Stegostoma tigrinum: one gene and its partner. The main gene of each other region encodes a partner of the protein of the gene in region 2 in a complex. Links are inferred from orthologs where the notes say so. Each region holds a gene or a part of one and is shown on either strand. Other genes may lie near its edges.

The links. The genes of interacting proteins can lie anywhere in the genome.
Region 1: synrg (region 2) and aftiphilin-like share a complex: the UniProt entries of both Homo sapiens proteins name them as parts of the aftiphilin/p200/gamma-synergin complex. The link is inferred for Stegostoma tigrinum from reciprocal best matches to the Homo sapiens genes SYNRG and AFTPH.

The regions. Positions count from the first base shown.
Region 1 is NC_081362.1:1,991,205-1,998,771, reverse strand, and holds the start of aftiphilin-like, read right to left. Parts: upstream 3,020-7,567; 5' UTR 1,437-3,019; intron 1-1,436. UniProt on the Homo sapiens protein: Component of clathrin-coated vesicles.
Region 2 is NC_081380.1:33,746,573-33,754,484, forward strand, and holds the start of synrg (synergin gamma), read right to left. Parts: upstream 3,018-7,912; 5' UTR 2,992-3,017; coding exon 2,924-2,991; intron 1-2,923. UniProt on the Homo sapiens protein: Plays a role in endocytosis and/or membrane trafficking at the trans-Golgi network (TGN). May act by linking the adapter protein complex AP-1 to other proteins. Component of clathrin-coated vesicles.

The DNA of each region.
Region 1 (7,567 bases), on a different chromosome or scaffold from region 2:
TGGCACTCCCTCAGCACTGACCCTCCAACAGTGCCCACTCCCTCAGCACTGACCCTCCGACAGTGCCCACTCCCTCAGTGCTGACCCTCCGACAGTGCAGCGCTCACACAGCACTGACTCTCCGACAGTGCCCGCTCCCTCAGTGCTGACCCTCCAACAGTGCCCACTCCCTCAGCACTGACCATCCGACAGTGTGGCACTCCCAGCACTGACCCTCCAACATTGCCCGGTCCCCCAGCACTGACCCTCCGACAGTGCGGCGCTCCCTCAGCACTGACCCTCCAACAGTGCAGCACTCCCTCAGTACTGACCCTCTGACAGCGCCCACTCCCTCAGCACTGACCCTCCGACAGTGCAGCACTCCCTCAGCGCTGAGCCTCCAAGATAAGGCTGAAGCTTTCACAGTGACCGTCAACCAGAAATGCTGATCGAATGATCCATTTTGGCCTTCTCCAGACATTCCCAGCAATGCAACTATCAGTCTTCAGCCAATTTGAAATGGTTGAGATGCTGGATACTGCAAAGGCTGGAACTGAGAGTCAATGTTGGTCAGTTAGCAGAGAGGGAATGGGTGAATGTGACTTGGCAACAAGTTTGGACAAAGAGGCAGTGCTGAATTTTACAGAGAATGGGATCTAGCCGGGGAACCTTACAATCACCTTGTCTAGATATAACAAGGAATGTGTGTTTCAGCAGGTCATGGGCAGAGGTTGGGTTTGATTTAAACAACGATAATATGAGTCAGCCTACACTTTTATAACGCTGTACGTTGAAGTGAGATGATGACATATAGAGTGTGTATTTAATCATCACATACCGCAACACATCATTTATTTTACAAATTTAAATGTATCAGATTATTAATTCTCTCACATAACAACAGACTGGCTGCAAACATATCAACAGTTACATAATTTTCAAAAATGTATTAACAAAGGGCATTTTTTCACACAGTTTAGTTCAGGTGTTAATGTTTATTTATTGCTAAGTCATTGTATTTGTTAAACAGTAATTTTTTCATTGAGTACAAGTGGCAGATGTTCAGAAACGTGAAACAAAAGAAAGGGATGGAGCACCCCAGCAGATCAATCAATGTGTTGCCGACTGAGTGCACATTTCAACAGGACAGCTGTCCACCTCTGATAACAAAACTCAAAAGTGTATCAAGCAGCAGGAGGGTCAGTAACCAGGGGGCGATGGGGACAGTGGGAGGCAATGGCCTAGTGGTATTGTCACTGGTCTGTTAATCCAGAGACCCAGATAAGGTCCTGAACACCAGGATTCGAATCCCACCATAGCAGATAGTAGAATTTGAATTCAATAAAAAATCTGTAATTGAGAGTCGAATGGTGACTGTGAATTCACTGCTGATTGTTGGGGAATAAAACCTATCTGGTTCATAAATGCCCTCTAGGGAAGGAAACTGCCATCCTTACCTGGTCTGGCCTCCATGTAACTGCAGACACACAGCAATGTGGTCCTCTGGTGTGTGGGTAATAAATGCCGGCCTGAGAAGTTAAACTCTCATCCTGTTAATGAACAAAAACAAAGGGAACTGTCATATGTTCATTCCCAAGGTGGCCAGCTGCTAGGGGCAGTGGGGAAATGTCATCTCACAGAGCTCATTGTCGTAATCTAGAGTGTGTTGTGTGAAAGAGGACGGACCAGATTCAATATTAACTTTCAAAAGGGTATTGGATACACCATTGAAAGTAAAAACCTGCCAGGCATTGGGGAAGAAGTGGACAGGGTACTCATTCAATTTTAAAATTCTTATTCTTGTTTGCAGTCTGTCTGTGATATTACCCTGTTTCAATCGTCCAACCACCAGCAGCTGCCTGGGCCCTGAGCTCTCAACTTCTTTCTCTAACCCTCTCCACCCTCTACCTCTCTATCCACTTTCAAAACACTCCTTCAACTTAACCTCTCTGACTGAGCTTGGGTCACCTGTCCTAATATCACCCCTTGTGACACAGGGTCAGGTTTTGCTTGTTGATTCTTCCTCCGATGGTCCTTGAGATGGATTAGTAGGGATGCAGTCACAGATGTTAAAGGTGCCATATAAATGAAGATTGTTGCTGTTGTTCTCAGTCATACAGAAATCTACACACATCCTCATGTTACAAGAATTGCAAGGAGTGTCTACCACCTTGTTGTAAACATTCAGCTACATACCCGATGGATCCCACACCATTACACAACTATTCAGAGCTCGAGGGGTAAGTGTGGGTTTTATTGAGGACCAGGTTAGTACGGTGCCTGCTGTATTCTTCCGTGAGGAGGTTATTGAGGCTAGAGGAGGTGGACTTGCAGACAGTTCAATTCCGCATCTCCTGATTTGTCGTCTCCTGTGGACAAATGTTTAAGGAGTTTGATGGATGGTTGTTTCTTGTGAGTGGTATCAGATCATTCCAGGCTCTGTGGGAGGCAGGAATAACATTACCAAAGTGGCAGTGTGTCCTGGTGTTGTACACTCAGACCTTGGGGGGATGGTATCCCGTGTCCTTGAGCCATCATTGGTCTGCATGCTCTTACCCAGAGGCTTGGAGAAAGGGCATGAACTACAACAAGCTTCTCACTGAGTGTGTGCTGATACTCAGCTGGAACAGAGCGGGGCCTCTGCTGGTCTTCAGATGGGCTAAAGTGGGGTCTCTACTGGTGCTCAGCTGGGACGCAGCAGGGTCTGTGCTGGTGCTGCCAGCTGGGACAGAGCGGGATCAGTGCTGGTGCTGCCAGCTGGGACAGAGCGGGGTCTGTGTTGGTGCTGGGACAGAGCGGGGTCTGTGTTGGTGCTAGGACAGAGCGGGGTTCTGTGTTGGTGCTGCCAGCGGGGACAGAGCGGGGTTTCTGCTGGTGCTGCCAGCTGGGACAGAGCGGGTTCTGTGCTGGCGCTGCCAGCTGGGACAGAGTTGGATCTGTGTTGGTGCTGCCAGCTGGGACAGAGCGGGGTTTCTGCTGGTGCTGCCAGCTGGGACAGAGCAAGGTCTGTGTTGGTGCTGCCAGCTGGGACAGAGCGGGGTTTCTGCTGGTGCTGCCAGCTGGGACAGAGCGGATTCTGTGTTGGTGCTGCCAGCTGCTGCTGGCTGTAGATGAAGAAGCACGTGTCCCAGCAGTGATAACCTCACTGTACAATCCAGGATGTGTTTTATATGTATATAGAAACACAATCTCAGAGCTTTAATGAATAATTCAATCAGCTCTGACCATCAGGTTGTGCCCGAACTGACAGCCTTCCTTCATTGTTCATTCTAGAAATAAAACGTTTCGGTAAACTGTATCAGGAACAAACAGGAAGCAATTTCTTGGCTGACTGGTTCACCTGTCTCCATGGTAACCATAATCTTATTTCCCCAAGTGATGGAAAACAAAGACATTGCATTGATCCAAGAACCCACGACAACAGAAAAGGAAACTTTCCAAAGGGAGATTGTGAAAAGTCAAACTGGGACAAACGTGAGTTTTCAGTTATCGCGAAGGTACCAGCTATTCCCACTGGATAAATAGGAGGCCCCTAATAAACTGAAATTCCAGGATCCTAACTCCAGAATAACCGAAGGCACAAAAACTTGTCACACCACTGCTCCAACCAAACAGAGCGGATTTAGACCATGCTCCAGTACACTCACAGGGAACTGTTATCCATGATCTATCAGCGAGTATGAGACCATCCGACACAGAATAGCTAAGCCTGAGAGAATGGTGGCCGGCACTGTTAATCAGAGACAAAGTGAAGAGGATGCAGCGAGTGAAAACTGGACATCAGTAAGGAGTGCCAGATTCCATCATTGAGATGGCCAATGATTGTGAAGAGTGGGAATTCTCTCCAGTGAAGAAAAGGATGAGACTGGCTGCCTTTCCTGATGGCAAAGGAGATGTGTTGTACTGGTTCAAGCACAGAACGATCCCACCTTTGACCCAATCTGAGTCACAAGGAGTTCACCCACACCGATGGAGAACTGCACCCATTCAAAATAAGCTGTAGCATTGCCTTCTCTGCAATTAGCAAGGACGGAGCGGGTTCGAGGTTCATCCCAAACAGCTCCATGATGCAGGGCTCTGTGCTCTGCAGAATGTTCCCCAGGATACACACCGAGAGAAACTTTGACTGTGCCTGTAGGACCATCAACTTTTTGATCCGCCCAAAACTTGTTGGTCTTCCAGAGCAAGGAGTTGACCTTAACCGAGTGTTGCAGACTGGCACATTCCATTGTACAGGAATACCTGCTGAGGGATGCACTAAAGCTTGGGGCAACTGCTGCCAAGGGGCATTGGGGAAAGACCACTGTCTGAGGTCTTTCTGCTGAAGTTAAAGGGGGTCTGTTCAGTTATCAGTCCCTCCTGGCACCTCCAATATAAATAAATTTGGTCCTCTACAAATACAGGATTTGGTCTGACCGCTGGATAGAGTTAAACTTCAATGTTTGTTTGTTTCTTCATATGCTACTGTATAGAACCGAACTGCCTTAGTGGCCATGTATGTATATAATGATATTTTCATGAATAAAGTATATTTTTGACATTAAAAAAAGGTTTTGTGGGGAAGAAGCTGCAGGTTAAAACTGCAGCGACAAATGGTCAGCTACAAAGCTATCCTCCCAAGGCCTGAACAAGGATATATCAGAAAACACTTTCCCAGGTGAATGAAATGGGACTGTTAAACCTCCTGCTGTCAAGTGACACTTTGCTGTTTAAAGTTGAAATGGGTAACAGTGCAAGCTGAAGTGATGAACATGACACTGCTGTTCTCTGCAGCACTGAAAGGCTGCCGTTTCTTGTTCCAGCCCAAGAAGTCACTTCGCTTCACAAATGTTCAAGACACATAGGGTAAGGTGAACAAATTCAATCTGGATGATGTCCAGCATTTCTGAGGCACACGTTGGAAAATTTTACTGAAATGTAGCAATGAAAAGGAGAGGAAAGTTATAGTCAAGATAGACACTGCCCCAGTGCAGCAACGCACCCCCCCCCAACATCACACACCTGAAGAGTCTTCTTCTCATGTTCAACGTTCTCAATGCCCCAGAAAAGCTCCAGCCAATGGACAAGGGGTAATGAGGGCAACTGTCAATGGCAGCTGATCTCTCAGGATGTTGATGTCATCAGTAAGAGCAGGGAAGATGGAAGAGCCCAGCAACACATAAGGCTGAAGTATTTGCAATAATCTTCAGCCAGAACTGCCTCCTCCAGTGGTCCCCAGCACCACAGGTACCAGTCTTCAGCCAATTTGATTCACTCCACATGATATCAAGAAACGGTTGGAGACACTGGATACTGCAAAGCCTGTGGGCCCTGACAACATTCTGGCAACAGTACTGAAGGCTTGTGCTCCAGAACTTGACACTCCCCGAGCCAAGCTGTTCTGGTACAGTTACAACATCAGCATCAACCCGACAATGTGGAAAATTGCCCAAGTATGTCCTCACCTCAAAAAACAAGACAAATCCAACCCGACCAATTCCCGGCCCATCAGTCGCCTCTCGATCATCAGTAAAGTGATGGAAGGTGTCAGTAACAGAGCTATCAAGCAGCACCAGCTCAGAAATAACCTGCTCAATGATGCCCAGTTTAGGTTCTGCCAGGGCCACTCAGCTCCTGATCTCATTACAGCCTTGGTTCAAAGATGGGCAAAAGAGCTGAATTCCATAGGTGAGGTGAGAGTGACAACCATGAAATCAAGGCTGCATTTGACCAAGTGGGCATTAAGGAGCCCGAGCAAAACTGGATTCAATGGGTATCAGGGGAAAATTCTCCAGCGGTTAGAGTCATACCTAACACACAAGAAGATGGTTGTGGTTATTGGAGGTCAGTCATCTCAGCTCCAGGACATTTCTGAATAAGTTCCTCAGGATAGTTCTGGATGTAAGTTTGCTCACTGAGCTGGAAGGTTAGTTTTCAGACGTTTTGTCACCATTCTAGGTAACATCATCAGTGAGCCTCCGACGAAGCGCTGGTGTTATGTCCCACTTTCTATTTATCTGTTTAGGTTTCCTTCCTCAGGATAGTGTCCTAGGCCCAACCATCTTCACCTGCTCCATCAATGACCTTCCCTCCATCATAAGGTCAGAAGTGGGGATGTTCGCCGATGATTGCACAATGTTCAGCACCATTCGTGACTCCTCGGATACTGAAGCAGTTCCAGTTCAAATGCAACAAGATCTGGACAATAGCCAAGTTTGGTCTGAAAAGTGGTAAACAACATTCGTAGTACACAAATGCCAGGTAATGACTGTCTCTAATAAGAAACAATCTAGCCACCACCCATTAACACTGAATGGTGTTATCATCACTGAATCACCCACTATCAGCATCCTGGGGGTTAGCATTGACCACATCCCTAACCCCATCTCTTGCCTTTATTGGTCAGTGCATTGACTATAGGAGTTGGGAGGTCATGTTGCAACTGTACAGGACATTGGCCAGGGCACTTTTGGAATACTGCATTCAGTTATGGTCTCCCTCCTATAGGAAAGATGTTGACAGGGTGCAGAAGGGTTGGAGGGTTTGAGTTACAGGGAGAGGCTGAATAGGCTGGGGCTATTTTCCCTGGAGCGTCGGAGGCTGAGGGGGGGACCCTCTGGAGGTTTATAAAATCATGAGGGGCATGGATAGGGATAGCCAAGGCCTTTTCCCCAGGGTTAAGGTGTTCAAAACTAGAGAGCATAGGTTTAAGGTGAGAGGGGAAAGATTTAAAAGGGACCTAAAGGGAAATGTTTTCACACAGAAGGTGGTGCGTGTATGGACTGAGCTGCCGGAGGAAGTGGTGGAGGCTGGTACAATTACAACATTGAAAAAGCATCTGGATGGGTACATGAATAGAAAGGGTTTACAGGGACTTGGACCAAGTGCTGGCAAATGGGACTAGATTAATTTAGGAAGTCTGGTTGGTATGGACGCGTTGGAAAGAAGGGTCTATTTCTGCAATGTCCATCTTTATGACTCTATAAACTGAACTGGACTAACCAGATAAATGTAGTAGCTATAAGAGCAGGTCCATGAATTCTGCAGTGAATAACTCACCAGACTCCCCAAAGCCTGCTCACCAGCTACGAGGCACTAATCAGGAGTGTGATGCAATACTCCCCATTTGCCTGGATGGGTGCAGCTCTAACACTCAAGAAGTTCGACACCATCCAGGGTGAAGCAGCCCCCTCTTGATTGGCACCACATCCACAAGCATTCACTCCATCCACCACCAACACTCAGTAGCAGCAGTGTGTACCATCTACAAGGTGCACTGCAGAAACTCACCAAAGATCCTTACTCAGACAACACCTTCCAATTCCACAGTCTCTTCCTTGAAGGACAAGAGCAGCAGATACATGGGAACACCGCCCCCTGCAAGGTCCCCTCCAAACCACACACCATCTGACTTGGAAATACATCACCGTTCCTTCACTGTCACTGGGTCAGAATCCAGGAACTCCTTCTCTAAGGGCATTGTGAGGCTAACTACAGCACATATACAGCAGTGGTTCAGGAAGGCAGCTCATCACCACTTTCCCAGAAGCAACTGGGGACAGGTGATAAGTGCTGGCCTAGCCAGTGATGCTCACGTTCCACGAATGGA
Region 2 (7,912 bases):
AGTTAGTGAGACACAACTTCCCACACACAAAGCCACGTTGATTAGTCCTAAACAGTCTTTGCCTTTCAAAATGCATGTAAATTCTGTCCCTCAGAATTCACTCCATTTATTTACCAACCACTGACATCAAGCTCACTTGTCTATAGTTTCCTGGCTTTTCTTTACCACCTTTCTTAAATAATGACACATTGACCAGCCTGCAGTCTTCTGGCACCTCACCCATAGCCGTCAATGATATAAGTCTCTCAGTTCGGGCCCAGCAATCTCTACCCTCGCTTCCCATGAAGTTCTGGGGCACACGTGATCAGGTCCCAGGGATTGATTTATCTTTATGCTGATCTTTCAGATCTCCTCTTCTGTAATATGGACACTTTTCATGATATCACTACTTATTTCTAAGTTCTCTAGTTTCCATGTCCTTCTTCACAGTAAATACTGAAATGAAATATTCATTTAGCTTTTCACCCATATCCTTCAGCTCCACACAGACAGCCTTGTTGATCTTTAAGGATCACCTTTGTCTTCCTAGTCACTTTTTCTCCTTAATGCATATGTAAAATCTTTGGATTCTCCTTAACCTTGCATGCCAACGCTATCTCATGTCCCCCTTTTGGCTTCTCGATTTCACGCTTAAATATAGTTCTACAGCCTTTATTCTCATCTAGGTATTCACTTGATCTCAGATAAGTACATCTGACATATGCCTCCTTCTTTTTCTTGAATAAACCCTGAATTTCTCCAGTCATCCAGCATTACCTACACCTACCAGCCTTGCCTTTCGCACTAACAGGAGCATACTGTCTCTGAGCTCGCGTGGTCTCATTTTTGAAGGTGTCCCATTTTCCAACCATACCTTTTGCCGATAAACAGCTTTCCCCAGTCAACTTTTGAAAGGTCCTACTCAATACTATCAAAATTGGCCTTACTCCAATTTAGAACATTAACTTTTAGATCAGTTCTATCTTTTGTCACAACTATTTTAAAATGAATAAAATTATGATCAATGGCCCCTAGGTGATCTGTCACTGATATCTCAGTCACTTGCCCTATCTTATTTCCCAAGAGATGGTCAAGTTTTGCTCCTTCTGTAATAGGTACATCTACATATCGAGTAATACAGTTTTCTTGTATACACTTAAATTCCTCTCCATTCAAGCCCTTAACAACAGCCCCGGTCAATGTTTGGAAAGTTAAAATCCCCTATCATTACAAGCCTATTATTCTTACAGATATCTGAGATCCCCTTACATGTTTGCTTCTCAGTTTCCCACTGACTATTTGGGATCCTACAGTACAATCCCAAATAGGTGATCATCCCTTGATTTCTCAGTTCTACTTATATAAGATCACTGGACATTCTCCCAGGAATATCCTCCCTAGGTCAAATGCAATGTTCTTTAACGAACAACGCTAACCCCCTTCTCTCTTGCCCACCTTTCTATCCTTCGTATAGCATCTATACCCTGGAACATTAAGCTGCCAGTCCTGCATTTTAAATAACAGTCACATTTAACAGGAATTCTTAAAACATTAAATATATTGAGGAAGTGAAAAATTTTTTTAGCAACCCTCAATCAAGTACTTGTCAACTTTCGTTATGCGTCAAAGTTAAGATAGTAAAATTCATCTACTTGATTGACAAGTAACACAAATTACAGATCGAATCATAACATGCCTGCAGAGGGGAGAGTAAGGACAAAATCAAGTATTCAATCATCACAAGATTATTTGGTCAACTTTGGAATCTACTGCAGTTACTCAGCAGTCTTTTTTTCTGGAGATAGTGGGGAGTGGGGTAATTATTCAAAGCCATAAGTACTGTGCTAAATAGTTTGCCACTATTGCACACATGTAAAAAGGTCAGCAACTTTAAACAGCCTTCAAAGTATCACAACTTGCAAATTCTTGTAATGTTAATTTTTAATACCAACCAATGCAACAAAACAGAATACATGGCAGAGACCAAAAGGCCCACAAAGTCAACTTTTTCCATTCCAGGTGTGCCTAAAATTAAAAGTAAGGTACACCCAAATCTGCTGAGTACAAGTAGTATAATTATTCTTTTCCTACACATACACACACTCACTGGGAAGTGAAATAATATCAAAGCTCATTTACCCCCTTGCCTTTTTACTGGCATACTGCAAACTGCAAAGATCATTGCAGCTACATTAAGGGAGTTTATGAATACTTTTATTGCCCGACAACACACGAGATACAGAAAGAGGGAATTACAATTCAATTTTTTTTTGAAGATCGAATTCGATCAAGAAACGTCCACCTAATTTAGCTGGGTCAGATGAAAGGTGATAGGGTGAGATGAAAGATACATGAAGCACGATCTCCTTCAGGGAACATGAATTATTCAGTGTGCAGCTTCCCGTTCAATTCAGACAGCAGAACTTCACAGGCTCAAAATAAGGGGAAAGGGGTATCTGCGTGTACTTCCATTCGGCAACAATCCACCTAAGGTTTACTTTTAGAAAAATAAAACGGATCAACACAAAATTAAAGTGGAAGGGGAGGGGTAAGAGAGAGAAGAAAGTTTAAAACGTAAAATAAAATCGTGCGGAGATCAGCCTTTACCCATTTATAAAGGAAACAATCGACTCAATGGAAATATAATTTAAAAGATCAGATAATCAGAAGTAAGAGTTGTCCGGTGGTATCTAGGCTATCAGATGGTAAATATTAAAGTGTGTGTGCGTGAAGGCAGAGGGAGGGAGGGAAACGGGCTCTTGCTCACTGACCCAGACTAACCCCATTTGCTCAGCATCATCTTAAAGGCAGAGAGGCGGCCACCGGCTCCGCGATGAATCGAGCCGGCCGCCCAGCCATTCATAAATCATCTCCTGATTTCGTTCACCATTTATAATAATTATACCAATAAAGAAACGAGGAAAGTCGATGTTTCTACACTTACCCACTGCCGTTACCGCCAGTGCCATTGCTGCTGCTACCACCGCCGCCACCGCCTGGTCGCAGCGCCATCTTTGATTCGGCTCCTTGTCAACCAGTAACTACTTCCGGGTCTCCTTCCCCCACAAAAGGTCAACGCCCAGTCACCTGTCACCAGCTGTATCAACCTGACTGGGCTAGGCTCATTGCAACATTCCCCAGGCACTTTCAATTTCTCTGAATACAACTCACTGTCATCTTTCACTCTTTCATTGAACCCGCAATGTTAATCCTGTTTCCTCCCCCACAGATCTGCTGAGAGGCTCCAGCAGGTTATGCTTAAGATCCGCAGTTCTTTGTTTTATTTTATATTATTTCTTATTCCTTTGGGTGGGAGGGGGAACAGCTGCCTCCTTTCCCCCTTCCTGCTTCATTATTTTCTCTCAATCAGGCGGAATGATGCATGGTTACGTTTTCAAACATCCCAACCAAAGACAGCCCCTATTCTTACTAAAGCGAAACATAATCTTTGCAATTGTGTGTTCTTGGTGCTGTGGCATGGTCTGGGCTGGACAGGAAAATTGAATATATGAAAATGCAAGAAAATTAAAATTGAGAAAGACTTTGATAGAGTGGTATCTTTGTTAAGAATCTGATCCAGGATGCAGAGGATAGACTTTGATGGCACAACAGAAGTTACAGCATCGTTGAACTTGCAAGATGCGGTTGTTGATAGGTTGTATGAAAAGGATTAGATTAACACTGAGCCATGCGGTATCCATTGGCCAGATGTCTCCATGCATTTCTCCCTTGTCCAAGGTGATTTTTTTTCATTCGTTCATAGGAAGTGGGCATTGCTAGCTAGGCCAGCATTTATTGCCCAATCCTAATGGAATGGAATAGTGTAGGTTATATGGGCTTCAGTTTAGTTTCACAGGTCTGCGCAACATCGAGGGCCAAAGGCCTGTATTGCGCTGTAGTGTTCTATATTCTCTGTTCTAATTGCCATGGAACTTAAAAGCTAGCTAGATGCTTTAAAAATTAGTTAGGAGTCATATTATTTGTGTTAGTTTGGAGTGCATGTAGGCCAGGCCAGGTAATGATGGCAGATTTCTTTTTCTATTTTACATTAGTGAAGCAGCTGGGTTTGTATAACAATCAATTGTGCTTATATGTCACAATCAGGTTAGCTTTTAATCACAATCTTTTTACTGAATTTAAATTTCACCATGTTCATATTCAAATACATAAGACCGTAAAATATGGAAGCAGAATCAGGCCAATTGGCCCATTGTATCTGCTCCACCATTCAGCCATGGCCGATATGTTCCTCAATACCATAGGTACAATGACTTGGCCTCCACAGTAATGAGTTGCACAGAATTGAAAGGGTCATTCCTTCACCCTGAGGCTGTGCCTCATGTCCTGGCCTCTCCTAATAGTGCAAACATCTTCTCCACATATACTCTATCCAGGCCTGTGTTCTGTAAGTTTCAATTAGAACCCTCCAATCCTTCTAAACTCCACTAAGCACAGACCAGATTCCTGAACTGCTCCTCATTTTACAAGCTGTTAATCCCTGGGATCATTCTTGCAAACCTCCTCTGGAACCCCTCCAAGACCATCATATTTTCCTAAGTTATGGGGCCCAAAACTGCTCACAACATTCCGAATGTGGTCTGGCCAGAGCCTTATTCAGCCTCAGCAGTTCAACATCCCTGCTCCTACATTCTAGCCTTGACTGGGTCCCCAGAGCATTAGAATCTGGATTACTGAATTACTAGTCCAGTGACATTACCAAAACACTACTACCTCCTCACTCCAAATTGCCTCTTGTGAAGGAGTGTTTTAACAATGGTCCTGACCAGGTTAGAAGAACTCTGGATGGTTTAAGGAGCAGTCCACTCTGTGACTTTGGCAGCTGTAAGGTCTAGTAGCAGTGTACCTGTCTTCATGGTCTTTTGGAACTGTTGTATCTGGTGGGTGTCAGAAGCTGATCACATGTGCTGTGCCACTTATGGAAACCAGCTTGGTTGACATCCAGGATGGTCTATCCTTCTGGAGACATGCATCAGAGGACAAGATACTCATTGATCGAAAACATGCAAAAATGTAGCAAAATCAGTTAATAGCTGAGATCTTTTCTATATTTTGGAATGACTTTTTCATTGTTGCACCTTTTTGAATAAGTTTGATTCTTGTGGAGAGCTAAGTAAATCAAGCATTAGCACAGTGGACATAAGTCTTAAAAATTTTGGTGCAAAGTTGTCATATCTCACTGTTTTACTTTGCAAGTTCTGTGATCGTGAAGGGGTCAGGACAGCCATGCTCTGCATTTTGTTGGCATTGTTTTTTTCCAATTCTTTGCAGATTAGTGTCTTGTTCAGCTTCCAACAGAGTCCTTGCTACATGGAGTAGGTATCTAGCAACATGGTTCAGGGTGATTGATAGTCAAGTTGGTGCGGGTTACTTTATGGCTGCTCCAAGGTACCCAATGAGGTTCCAGCACTTGGGACTGCACTGAGTGAAAGTGAACCCTCCTATCATTCCCTCCTTTCTGGGGTGATGCGCAGTATCAAGGGACCCTGTCTTGGTCTGTTTATCAGGGTCACCAAGTGATTCACATTGCTTTAGGGGCACTGAATTCTCTTATCAAGACATGGGATAAAGGTAGGCTGATACAAGCAGCTTTGTGAAAGGCACCACAAAACTCCTTATTTAATTCTCCCATAGGCATCTTATGCATAGTTTTAAATAACATATATGATAAATGATAACAATGATATCATAGAATGTCCACAGTGCGGGAAGAGGTCATTCAGTCCACTGAGTCTGCAACTGCCGTCTGAAGAGCATCCCACCGAGACCCAGTCCCTCACCCAGTCCCTCTAACTCCATATTTACTATGGCTGCTGCATCTAGCCTACACATCTCTGGAAACTACAGAGCAATTTAGCATGGCCAGACAACCTAACCTGCACATCTTTGGACTGTGGGAGGAAACCCACACAGACACAGGGAGAATGTACAAACTCCAAAAGGACAGTCACCCCAGGCTGGAATGAGACCCAGGTCCTTGACGCTGTGAGGCAGAGGTGCTAGCTGCTGAGTCATTGTGCTGCCCAAAGCCCCACTGTATATTCACCAATCTGCTTTACAGAAGAACTATCAAATCTTCCATGCAATGGTAGAGAAGTGGAAGATAGCGAACATTGTGTATGAGTGGTCCCCTGTGTTGACTCTGTGGGGAGTTGTCCAGAACTGGACACTCTGCTGGTGAGGAAATCCATTAAATGATCAGAGCCACCACCCAGTCAGGTGAGTAGTTATAACTGCGTCCGGCTGAATAGAACATTCCCTGTTGTTTCAGGTGATGTATCAGGATAAGATTGTTTCTGGAGGTGTACTGTGGGAGCTGCTTACCATCACCGTCTGACACTGAGTAATCCTAAACACTGCAATGGCTGTTGAAATCTCCCACAAAGCTGGCAGTATTAGCAGAACTTGCTGTTCCCAGCTGGCACTTGGAGATGTTTACACTTGGAGACAAACTTTGACATTTTTGCAGGATAAAAACTGCCAACCTGAATTGTATACCAGAACTTGGGTGATGTCAAGACGGGCTTCATTGGCAATGTTGAATAGCTTTTAGGAGGATGGGGGAGGGAATCTTGAAACTTACAGAATACTGAGAGGCCTGATAGAGTGAAAGTAGAGAAGTTGTTTCCACTAGTAGGACAGTCTTAGAGTGAAGGGACTACTCTTTATAATTGAGATGAGGAGGAACTTCTTCAGTCAGAGGGTGGTTATTCTGTGGAACGCACGGCCACAGACAGCTGTGGAAGCCAAATCATTGTGTGTCTTTAAGAGGGAGTAGACTGGTTCTTGATTGAAAAGGGAGGGGATCAAGAGTAGCAGGGAGAAGACAGGACAATAGGTTTGAGAAAGCTATCAGGAATAACCGAACGGTGGAACAGATTCTATTGACCCAATAGCCGAATTGTGCTTCTACGTCTTATGGTCTTCTGGTACAACTGTATTTAGCATAAGGGGAGTAGTAATGTAGGTTAAAATCATTGCTGTAATAAAAAAAACTCCTTCCTCAGCTCCAGTATGGGTCAGTTCTAGGCAAATGATGTTAAAAGGGGTTTTGGGTGGAATGACATCTAATGAGACTTGTTGGCTGACAGACCCACAACATTAAGTTGTAAGATTCAGTGAACTTGTCCTGTGAGCATAAAACCAGAGTTGTTCACCAGAGAATAGTCTTTCCAGAAAAACTGGGATTCCATAAGTGGGCCTTTCAATTTTACCGTGGAATTAAGACTGCTGATGGGATCAGTTGCTTCCATGGAGTGGCTGGGTACAGATGATGAGGGGAGTGAGGATGCAATAATATGCATAGGTGCTTTTGTGGTTTTATCAACTCCCCATTGATAGAGTAGGTTTCACAAATACTATACATCTCAAAGTGTTTAAGCCAGTTAAATGCTGTTGAAATATAGTCACTGTTGTTGGAAATGCAGAGGCCATTTCACACACAGCAAGATCCCACTAACAGCAATATGATAATAACCAAATTATCTGGGAGAGTGATATTGACTAAGGGACAAACATGGCCAGAATGGAAATATTGTCGAAACATCTCCTGTCTTTCTTCTTAGATTGGATTTTTTTTATGCCCACAAAATATTTCAATTCTGTGGGAAAAATGAAGGTGACCAATCACAATTGATGAATAAAATGTATTAAGAAAGATTTAATTTGATTTGATTTATTATTGTCACATGTACTGAGATATAGTGAAAAGTATTTATTTTCTGTACTAACCAGACAAATCAAACCTTCTTTAAAGTATAACAATGCAGAATACAATGTGACAGCTACAGAGAAGGTGCAGAGAAAGATCAACTCTAATGCATAAGAGGTCTGATCATTAGTCTGATAACAGTGGGGAAAGAGCTGTTCGTCAATCTATCAGTACAGGTTTTCAAACTTTTGAATCTTCTGCCCG